3 linked regions of the Yarrowia lipolytica genome follow. The protein of the gene in region 1 binds, or shares a complex with, the protein of each later gene. Links are inferred from orthologs where the notes say so. Each region holds a gene or a part of one and is shown on either strand. Other genes may lie near its edges.

What was found. The genes of interacting proteins can lie anywhere in the genome.
Region 2: YALI1_E20635g (region 1) and YALI1_D29852g share a complex: the UniProt entries of both Saccharomyces cerevisiae proteins name them as parts of the mitochondrial large ribosomal subunit. The link is inferred for Yarrowia lipolytica from reciprocal best matches to the Saccharomyces cerevisiae genes MHR1 and MRPL25.
Region 3: YALI1_E20635g (region 1) and YALI1_A03278g share a complex: the UniProt entries of both Saccharomyces cerevisiae proteins name them as parts of the mitochondrial large ribosomal subunit. The link is inferred for Yarrowia lipolytica from reciprocal best matches to the Saccharomyces cerevisiae genes MHR1 and MRPL27.

Annotation. Positions count from the first base shown.
Region 1 is NC_090774.1:2,061,643-2,064,675, forward strand, and holds YALI1_E20635g (mitochondrial 54S ribosomal protein mL67), read left to right. Parts: upstream 1-1,918; coding exon 1,919-2,533; downstream 2,534-3,033. Other genes in the region: YALI1_E20626g (uncharacterized protein), read right to left, coding at 1-998. UniProt on the Saccharomyces cerevisiae protein: Component of the mitochondrial ribosome (mitoribosome), a dedicated translation machinery responsible for the synthesis of mitochondrial genome-encoded proteins, including at least some of the essential transmembrane subunits of the mitochondrial respiratory chain.
Region 2 is NC_090773.1:2,984,123-2,986,740, reverse strand, and holds YALI1_D29852g (mitochondrial 54S ribosomal protein mL59), read left to right. Parts: upstream 1-1,566; coding exon 1,567-2,118; downstream 2,119-2,618. Other genes in the region: YALI1_D29841g (uncharacterized protein), read left to right, coding at 2,167-2,217. UniProt on the Saccharomyces cerevisiae protein: Component of the mitochondrial ribosome (mitoribosome), a dedicated translation machinery responsible for the synthesis of mitochondrial genome-encoded proteins, including at least some of the essential transmembrane subunits of the mitochondrial respiratory chain.
Region 3 is NC_090770.1:325,939-328,786, forward strand, and holds YALI1_A03278g (mitochondrial 54S ribosomal protein mL41), read left to right. Parts: upstream 1-1,922; coding exon 1,923-2,348; downstream 2,349-2,848. UniProt on the Saccharomyces cerevisiae protein: Component of the mitochondrial ribosome (mitoribosome), a dedicated translation machinery responsible for the synthesis of mitochondrial genome-encoded proteins, including at least some of the essential transmembrane subunits of the mitochondrial respiratory chain.

The DNA of each region.
Region 1 (3,033 bases):
TCGGTGGCCTTGGCCTTGTTCTCATCCTCGGACGAAGAGCCGCTTCGAGACTCAACCCACTCCTTGTACTTTTGGGCCGTGATCTCCTTCTGCTTCTGCACGTAGCCCCGGGTGCCGTGGTACTCCGTGTTGAGAATGCGGTCCCAGAAGGTGAAGAAGGGCTGCGAAAAGTTGGTCTTGATGCCAAAGCTCTGATGGTGAATGTCGTGGTACACGGCATTGTTGGGGAACAAGATCTGGAACGGGTCCCAGGGAATGCAGTAGCCGCAGTGGTCATCGACAGTCTTGAGCGTGGAGAAGCAGAAGAACCAGATGGCTTCTCGGGTAGTCAGGCCCGAAACCATGTATGCCAGGCCGGCTCCACACGAGTCCATCAGCACGCCCTCCAGAGCAGTGTTGTACAGCGCTCCAATGGCGTAGGGCACATAGAGTCTGTGGTGTCTGGAGTGGAACTTTTTGTATAACCATTTGCTCTGGTGCATGGCCCGATGCAGAAAGTACTGCCACGAGTCGAGAATGAAGAAGGCAAAGGAGATTTTGACAAAGGGCAGCAGATAGGTGTAGGCGAACGCCGCGAGCCACGCCTTTGCGGGGCTCGTCTGTCCTCCAAACCGAACCTGCCACGTCCAAATGTCGTGAGCTTCATGGCCAGTCGTGTTGGGCTCCTCAAAGTAGTTGAGTAGCAGGCCCAGAGCCGTCTGGAGCATGTGTTGCTTGATAACGTCTCGAACAACCTCCGCAAACGTGCACTTGTTGCGCTTGGTCACCTCCTCAGGAGTGTGGATCCGGTACTGTTCGAGCAGCTCGTACTGGTCGATGATGTGGAACATGATGCCCGACGTCCAGTAGCAGATGATGGGCAGCAGCAGCGCGAGATTCTCGTCCGAGATCCATGACACGAGTGGTGGAATGGAGTGTTTGTAGATAGGAGGCGGTATCGACGACACGTTGGGGGCCGTCAGCGTTATTGGGCCGAGATTGAAGGTGCCGTTGTACATGTCGCAAGGGGTGGAGCTGTTTATTTCGCTGGAGCTGGCGGTGTAGCTGGAGTTGTTGGCGAGCAAGTCGGTACAAATGTAGCGTTTTTTTTCGTAGGTCAGGGGAAGATACGCGCCAAAGTTGGAAACTCTTAATTGTAACGTCTTGCCATTTTTGGTGACAAAGACACATAACCTTCTAGACTTATCAGATGGGCAGGTGGAGCGATGGACAGAGGACGGGGTTCAAGTTGGGCTCGGAAACCAGGGTCTAGACCGCCCATTTCCCACCTGGCAACCTTCAAATTTCCGAAAAATCGCCACCTTGGCCCTCTTTACTGCCCCTCCCCCCGTCATCCGTGCCTGCTTCTACACTCTCGTACCACAAGTTTCGCCACAGCGTAGCTAAGACAAGCTCCTACAGAGAAAAACCACCCTAGAAAAACACTAATGGCACCATACTTGTGAAGTCAAAAAACAGCAGTAGAATGATCATGTCAAGAGACCGAGGAGGAAGCCCTCTGACGGGGACGTATAACAGTATGAATGGTGTCGGTGGGTGGAGTAGTAGGGGTAGTCACGTGACATATATCCCTAGGCCCGTGTCGGTTCCTTCCTTGCCCCTGATTTTTTTCCAATTATCTGCTTTTCTTGGATTTATTTCGCTTGCACATTTTCGGTCGATCGATGTCTCGCTAGACGCGTCCCCCCAAATTTCAGAGTTCAACTTTGTTGAGCCGAGACCGAGCTGAGTCAGAAGAGTTGGTTTCGGGCGTTAGTCAGCGAAGGGAAGAGCTAGACCGATCATCCCGTGACCGTCACCTCGTGAACGCCAGTTCGAATCCCGCGAAAACCATTTGCAATTTTTCCCTCCCTCCAGACCTCCCTCAAACCCTAATGGAGATCACAAATTTCACACTGCAACATCATCTCCATCAACAATGGCACAGTACACAAAAGCCATGGGCACCGTACGAAAGTACACGCCCGCCACTCTCAAGCGAGACGGTAAGCCCGCGTTTGTGTACGTCTACCGACACCTCCAGACGGGACAGGTGGCCTACACCCAGGTCCCCGGCGTGACGGAGCACCATCTCAACCGACAGTTCAAGGACCCCAACTGGGAGAACAAGCGGCCCACCATGCGACAGGATCTGTGGCGGCCCATGGCCGTTGCCGATTTCGGCGACCACCAGGCTGCTTGTGATGCCTACGACGGCCTCGTGTACCTGCGATACAAGCGAACCCACGACGGCAAGAAGGACATCAAGGGGTGGAGAAAGACCAACGCCGCCGGAAACGTGTGGCAGGACGGCCAGTACCGGCCCGTTTACACACAGGAGGCGCTGGCAGACCTGTCGACCGTCACCGAGGCCGTCAAGGTGCCCGTGACCATCCACTGGGAGGACCTGTGGAGACGAGGAGCCGCTGAGTCCTGGCCTGAGAATGCTGACCATAGCGTTCTCAAGCGATGGGACGCCATCTACCCCCAGTCTCTGGAAAAGCGACTTGCCAAGGAAGCCAAGGTGCCTGGTGAGACGACTGCTGAGCAGTAATGTACATAGTTAAGGAAGTGAAACAAAGAGTGCGAAGCACTATGGTTGAACGGGTCCTATCCATGGGTATTCGCTCACAAGACGTTATACTGGCAAAGTAGTAAAGTGTGGATATTGTAGATGGTCTGGCTTGAGCTGTGGGAGTCGGAGTACGAAACAAGTCGAACTCCGATATATCAATAGTGGCCGGATGAGCAGGAGTCTGTAGGAAGTCATGCAGAGCTGCTATAGCTCGCCTTCTGATACTAGAGACTGAGTCAGCTTATGCAACTAACAACTCTGGGCTCTACCATTCCACCATTGACAACAAAGTCGCTGAAGACTGGTACACATTTCACCAATGAGCACAACAAGTCTCTACTATCGATTTCTGTAGTTATCCTCAGTGTCAACTCCACAAATCACACTTTGAACCCCCACTCTTTTGACAAAGCGTAGGTTCAGAATGGTTGAGAGCACGGGTTCAGAAAGGTTCAGAAAGGGTCAGAAAGGGTTCAGCA
Region 2 (2,618 bases), on another chromosome or scaffold:
CCCTGATGTAGACCCCATGACCATTATACTTGTAACACGCCAGAAAGGACATTCGCTTCGCCCATTTCCTCGTCCCATGCTGGCGTTCACATTCATAGATAAACTCATCCAGTCGTATTCTCGGAGATGTGCTTTGTGACTCACAAGGTGAAAAGTGAAACTTCAAAAAGATTGTGGGGGCGTCATGTGGCATGGAGTTGGCAGAGGCCAAACTTGAACGTTCAACTGCCAATTACGCCTGGTTTATTCTATTGGCTTCTTCATTTCCGAGTACTTATCTAAATACAAGTGCAAGTCCTTCTCCCCTTATTTCCAACTCTGATAAGCAACCTGCATGATCTTTGTTGGTCCCTTTGTTGGTCTCTTTGTTGAACGCTCTTTGTCCGGCTGAACAAAGACTTTAACTAGATGTGAATAGGTGTAGGCTAACATAGGAGATGGTCTAAACTAACAAAGGGGCCGTTGTGTTTTGATAAAAGGAATTTATAGCGTGTTGGCGTCTTGGTTAGATTAAGACTCTGTAAGAATACCTGTAGTTATATGCTCTACTGGCGTGCAGAGAAGCCTATGGCTTTTATTCAGCATCAGATCGTTCCAAGTGAGCGGAGTGCTGAAAGATGAAGGCACACATTCATTAAACATGTTCATGTTCATTCGGGCATAACAAGCCCTATTCCTTTGGATATTTCGATATTTACCTCCACAGTGTGACTATTCACACTCCATCACCACTCCACCGGGAGCCACACCCTCGCATCGGGTGCAGGATCCAATGTTTGGAGATGCTCAGTAGGCAGTTTGCAGAAGCTACATGTACAGTATACCATTGTATGTACTATGGAGCCATAAAAGGTGATATTGAAACAATTACCCGACGCTTCACTTCACTACTTACGTATTTCACGACGTCCTTGGTGTGCAGAGTAGTGAGTCTACATAGCGGTTCATATCCATCCAAAGATACCACTTGTAAGTCAGAAGCGTCGAAACTAACCAAGTTATGGGTTAATCCGTCAAAGTCGTGTTAATACGGTACTTATGAGCTCAACAGATATGTCAAACTCAGTTGATATATTTGTTGAGAAGTACACGATAACTGGAATGCATCAATATCACTGAGTAATGGTCCAAAATGAGTGGAAAAAGTTGCAATCATTTCATCTCGTGGCTGAAACAAGACTTCCTAACAAACCAAGTGAGACCATCGACTCAATACCCTGAAAAGAGCATCTCTTCACTCGACCTACAACCACGTTTCCGCGGAACGACCGGGGTTCGATTCTCGATCAGACTACTACTAAACTTACTCATAATCTACAAACGAGTACTCCTATACGCTCTCAAAACTGTTCCAGTACAGCTGAAAATGAAATAAAAATGAACCTGAACTAAAAAAAGGAGATTATAAAAACATATTTATTCTCATTTATTCATATATTCCACAATTTGACCTTTTAATACTGTTCCACAATCGACGGCCAAAAATTTCACCTCCAGTTCAATTAAGGTTTTCCACTTGGATCAAAAATTGACCTGCACACCGATTCGTCATCACCACCACACAAAATGAAACCGTCGGTCAACATGCTCAAGCAGGCCGTTTCCAGCGCCGTCAAGGCTCAGGTGCCCGTCATCGACGCCTCTCCGTCGTACATCCCCAACGCCAACTTCGCCAAGCTGCCCCAGAAGCTGCAGGACTTTTTCCAGCGGTTCCCTCCCCAGCCATTTGTCAACTACTCGGCCAAGAAGGGGTTCAAGGACGCCCCCAACGCCAACCCCTTCCTGCCCAACAAGTCGCGAGTCACCAACAAGACCCACAAGCCTCTGTACTCGCTGAGACGACAGTCGGACCTGTACAAGCTGGCCCATAAGCACGGAGTGCACGAGCTGCTTCCTCCCATGGAAAAGACCTTCTTCGAGACCCGACACGAGCAGGCCAAGCCTCTGATTGGCGAGATGGTGTGGAAGAAGCATATCCGAGAAAAGACCAAGGAGTCGCGAAAGGAAAAGATTGCCAAGGCCTTGGAGACCATGGACGAGAAGATTGCCGAGGCAAAGGGAAAGAAACACTGGGAGAGATTGGAGCGACGGGAGCGAGAGAAGAAGCAGTGGGTTTAGACAGATACGAGAGGAGCAAGTGTCTGTACATCGAACACAACCAGATGGATGGCATCCGTACATCTCATTCGATCTACCCAGCAGGAGGATATGTATATAGTAATGAACTTGAAACAAGCCCAGAGCCGAGTGGCTCTTACAGTACAGTACATACTGTAGACTTCTGTGTACGTCGAGATGGTCTTTGCAAGATCGGAGTTGGGGTTTGAAGCTTTGACAAGGTGACAAACACGTCTCTAATGCGTATAGATCCCTCGAATACTGCCCCGAGTATCGAGAGTACTAAACAACCTGGTCAAGAACCAGGACGAGAATATCAAGTTCCAAAAGCCTCTGGATATGAGAATTCCGAGAATTCTGGCCAATTAATCCAAGGGATTGAGATTGTCTTCGCAAGTCGTCGCAGCATTGACGGTTGATAATACTGGTCGTACCTTTCTGTCAATGAGTTTCAGCAGAGAAGATAACTCCAACCCTAGCAAACTCGCCGACAAAGTGGT
Region 3 (2,848 bases), on another chromosome or scaffold:
GAAGGGGATATGGAGGGGGTCTATATACTTCTGGGGACACCATTTAAGTCTATAACTTGCTCCTAAGATGACGTCGAAGTCGATAACATCTCACATTTCCAATGCAATGCCGTGTGGATAACGACGTCACTTGTAGAAGATCTATTTAGAGCCGTGCAGATGAGAAGTGTTTGCCGATGCCTGGTGACTTAAGCGAGGTGGGGGTCAGATGTGGTGGTGGGGCCATTCTGAAGGGCATTCGAAGAAGATAAAACTGCAAATGCTAATTTTTTAGCGGTTTAGAGAGTTCTCAAGTCATCTAAAAAGTTGATACCATTGGTATTGATCCAGTTGTCGCCATGTGTCCTTGAATATTCCGAGGCATTTAAGGTTGGCTATAATTAGAACCGTTGAAATTAGCATGCATAAATAAAAGTTCGACAGTTCAACATGACGCCAACTCCACATGAGAGGAGCATCCAAGAATAGACCTGGTCAGCTGAACGAGTTGCTCGATCTCAATCTCTTCGATCAGGGTTGTTTTGATTGTTTATTAGAGCATCGAACATTTTGTGGAGCCAAGCTCTATATGAGTGAGAGGTACGAGCAACTAGAAATGCCCTTCACTTTGGTGAAGAACTCGGTCTTCATTTCTCGTAACTGCAAGTGCAAATAGAATTAAATACCCCCTAATTATAGTGTCACCAATACCGAGTTATTATGGTCATTGAGTTGATCCTACGGAGTCGAAGGGGAGTTTGATAGCACTTGCGAAGTCAAGTTCATATCACGTCTTGAGTTCAGGCAACTATTTTACCGAAAGTCCACTCATAATGGGAGTATTTGGGAATCAAACCACCCAGGCTAGGATCTATCTTCGTATAGTTATATGATCTAAAATGTATCATCTATGTATCATCTAGCATGTATCCCTTCAGTATAGCCCCTTGTGTTCCCTTTGGTGCTAATGGATCACTCTCGGGGAGTTTCTATTGATCATTAGACTGGGGTATGATAATTTAGCATAATTGTACAAAATACAGTATGTACTGTACGTACAGTGCCGTACAATCTGTACATATCCTGTTTGTCTATTTCGTTCTATCGTCGACTGGATGTTCAGGTGTATATGATGCGACTAGACACATGTGGGACATGGAGAGAGCTGTTCCATAAAGGAATAGACTGGAGCCCCATTGGATTATGGCCATTGATAATTAATCTTTCCAACTGTCAACTACTCACTCAATACAAGACTATAGTCAGTATGTCATTATTCTCATTTTTCAATCAGCTTCCGGACACACCAATCCTGACTCAGCAAACAAGAAAAACATCCACACGAGAAGCAAAAAAGAATGAGCGGGGGGGAATTAACCCCTGGCCTGCTTGCAATTTGGGAAGGCAGATATTTCCACTACACCACCGCCCGAATGGTGGGGTCCCAGAGTTGTATCGACTATAAGACAGTGGAAATGATCAAATATCCGGCGAAAAAGGCTAGAAAAAAGAGATAAAAACTGTGTAAAGGGGTAAAATCAGTAATATACAGTACTATGTAAAGAATTATTCATAGTTTTTTTGTCTCCAATGAATCATCTCAGCCTCCAACTGGAATACTCAACAAGGAATAAACATCTCTAAAATTGATACCAAAATAACCACAAAAAATGTGACATTTCAATGAACAAATTCCCATCACGCATTTTCTTCAAAAATTCGACCCTTGATCTCCTTCTCCGCTCCCGCCATTTCATCTTTTCAATTTCCCTTATCTCCTATCTCCGATACGAGAACCTTATTTGCTTCCATCCTTCAAGCTTATTAATCATCTCCCAGCAAGCTTATTTTGTCCCGTCACGTGAGAGTGAAATTTTACGGTTCCCAAATCATCACCGCGACATCAAAAACCATTCAACACACAACACAAACATCTCCACACAATGAGACCCTCGTTTGTGACCCAGCTGCTGCGACCATGGAAGAAGGACCGTTCCGGGTACATGTTCAACCTGTTCTACGGTGTGTCGAAAAACGGTAACAAGCGACTGCCCCTTACCTCCAAGCAGGGTAACAAGAACTTCTACAAGGGCCATGGAGCCGGTGGAGTCGGTAAGACCACTTCCAAGGGTCGATTCATTATCAACCGAGACAAGGTCCGAACTTTTGTCGTTCCTGCCGGTCTGGAGGCTTGTGAGCTCAAGCCGTTTGTGTCCCCCACCCTGGAGCCCATCAAGAACTCTTTCCGAGGCTTCTCGGGTCCCCTCGACCCCAAGCTCACCGTCAAGAAGGTGAACGAGTATGTCAAGTCCGGCCCTGTTGCCGAGGAGGATGCCCCCGATCGAAAGAACTGGATCGATCGAGAGTAAGAGACGTGTCGGTACGTGACACACAAACCTGAAGGATGAGCGACTGGACACGAGTCGAAACCAGAGGAGGCGAAAATTGTATATATTGAGCATGATTCATGATGATTGAGAACGGTGGGAGTTAGTAGTTGATGTAGGTCGGTGTAGTGATAGTCAACGTGACGGTGGTGGTAAGTATTAGATGGTGTACTTAGGAGTAGAGTGGTTTGTTTCATCGAACTTATTCCAAAAGACAGAACTTGTTGTATGTGTACATTTGTCTTTCAATCGCTTGTTTTCTACATCTAGAGTCTGGTTTTGTTTTTCGAGAAATTGGCTAAAAACTGAAATACTGTCCAGTTCCACGCAGAATAGATACAATACAGTTGGATTTGATTTATTATATTTTTCGAACGTCGAATCTTCAATTCGATGGGGCACCACACACTTCTGTTCATAGGCCAATTGTAGCTGATCCACAGGCCCCATTCGGCTGAGCACTAAGCCCATGTGTTGCGATC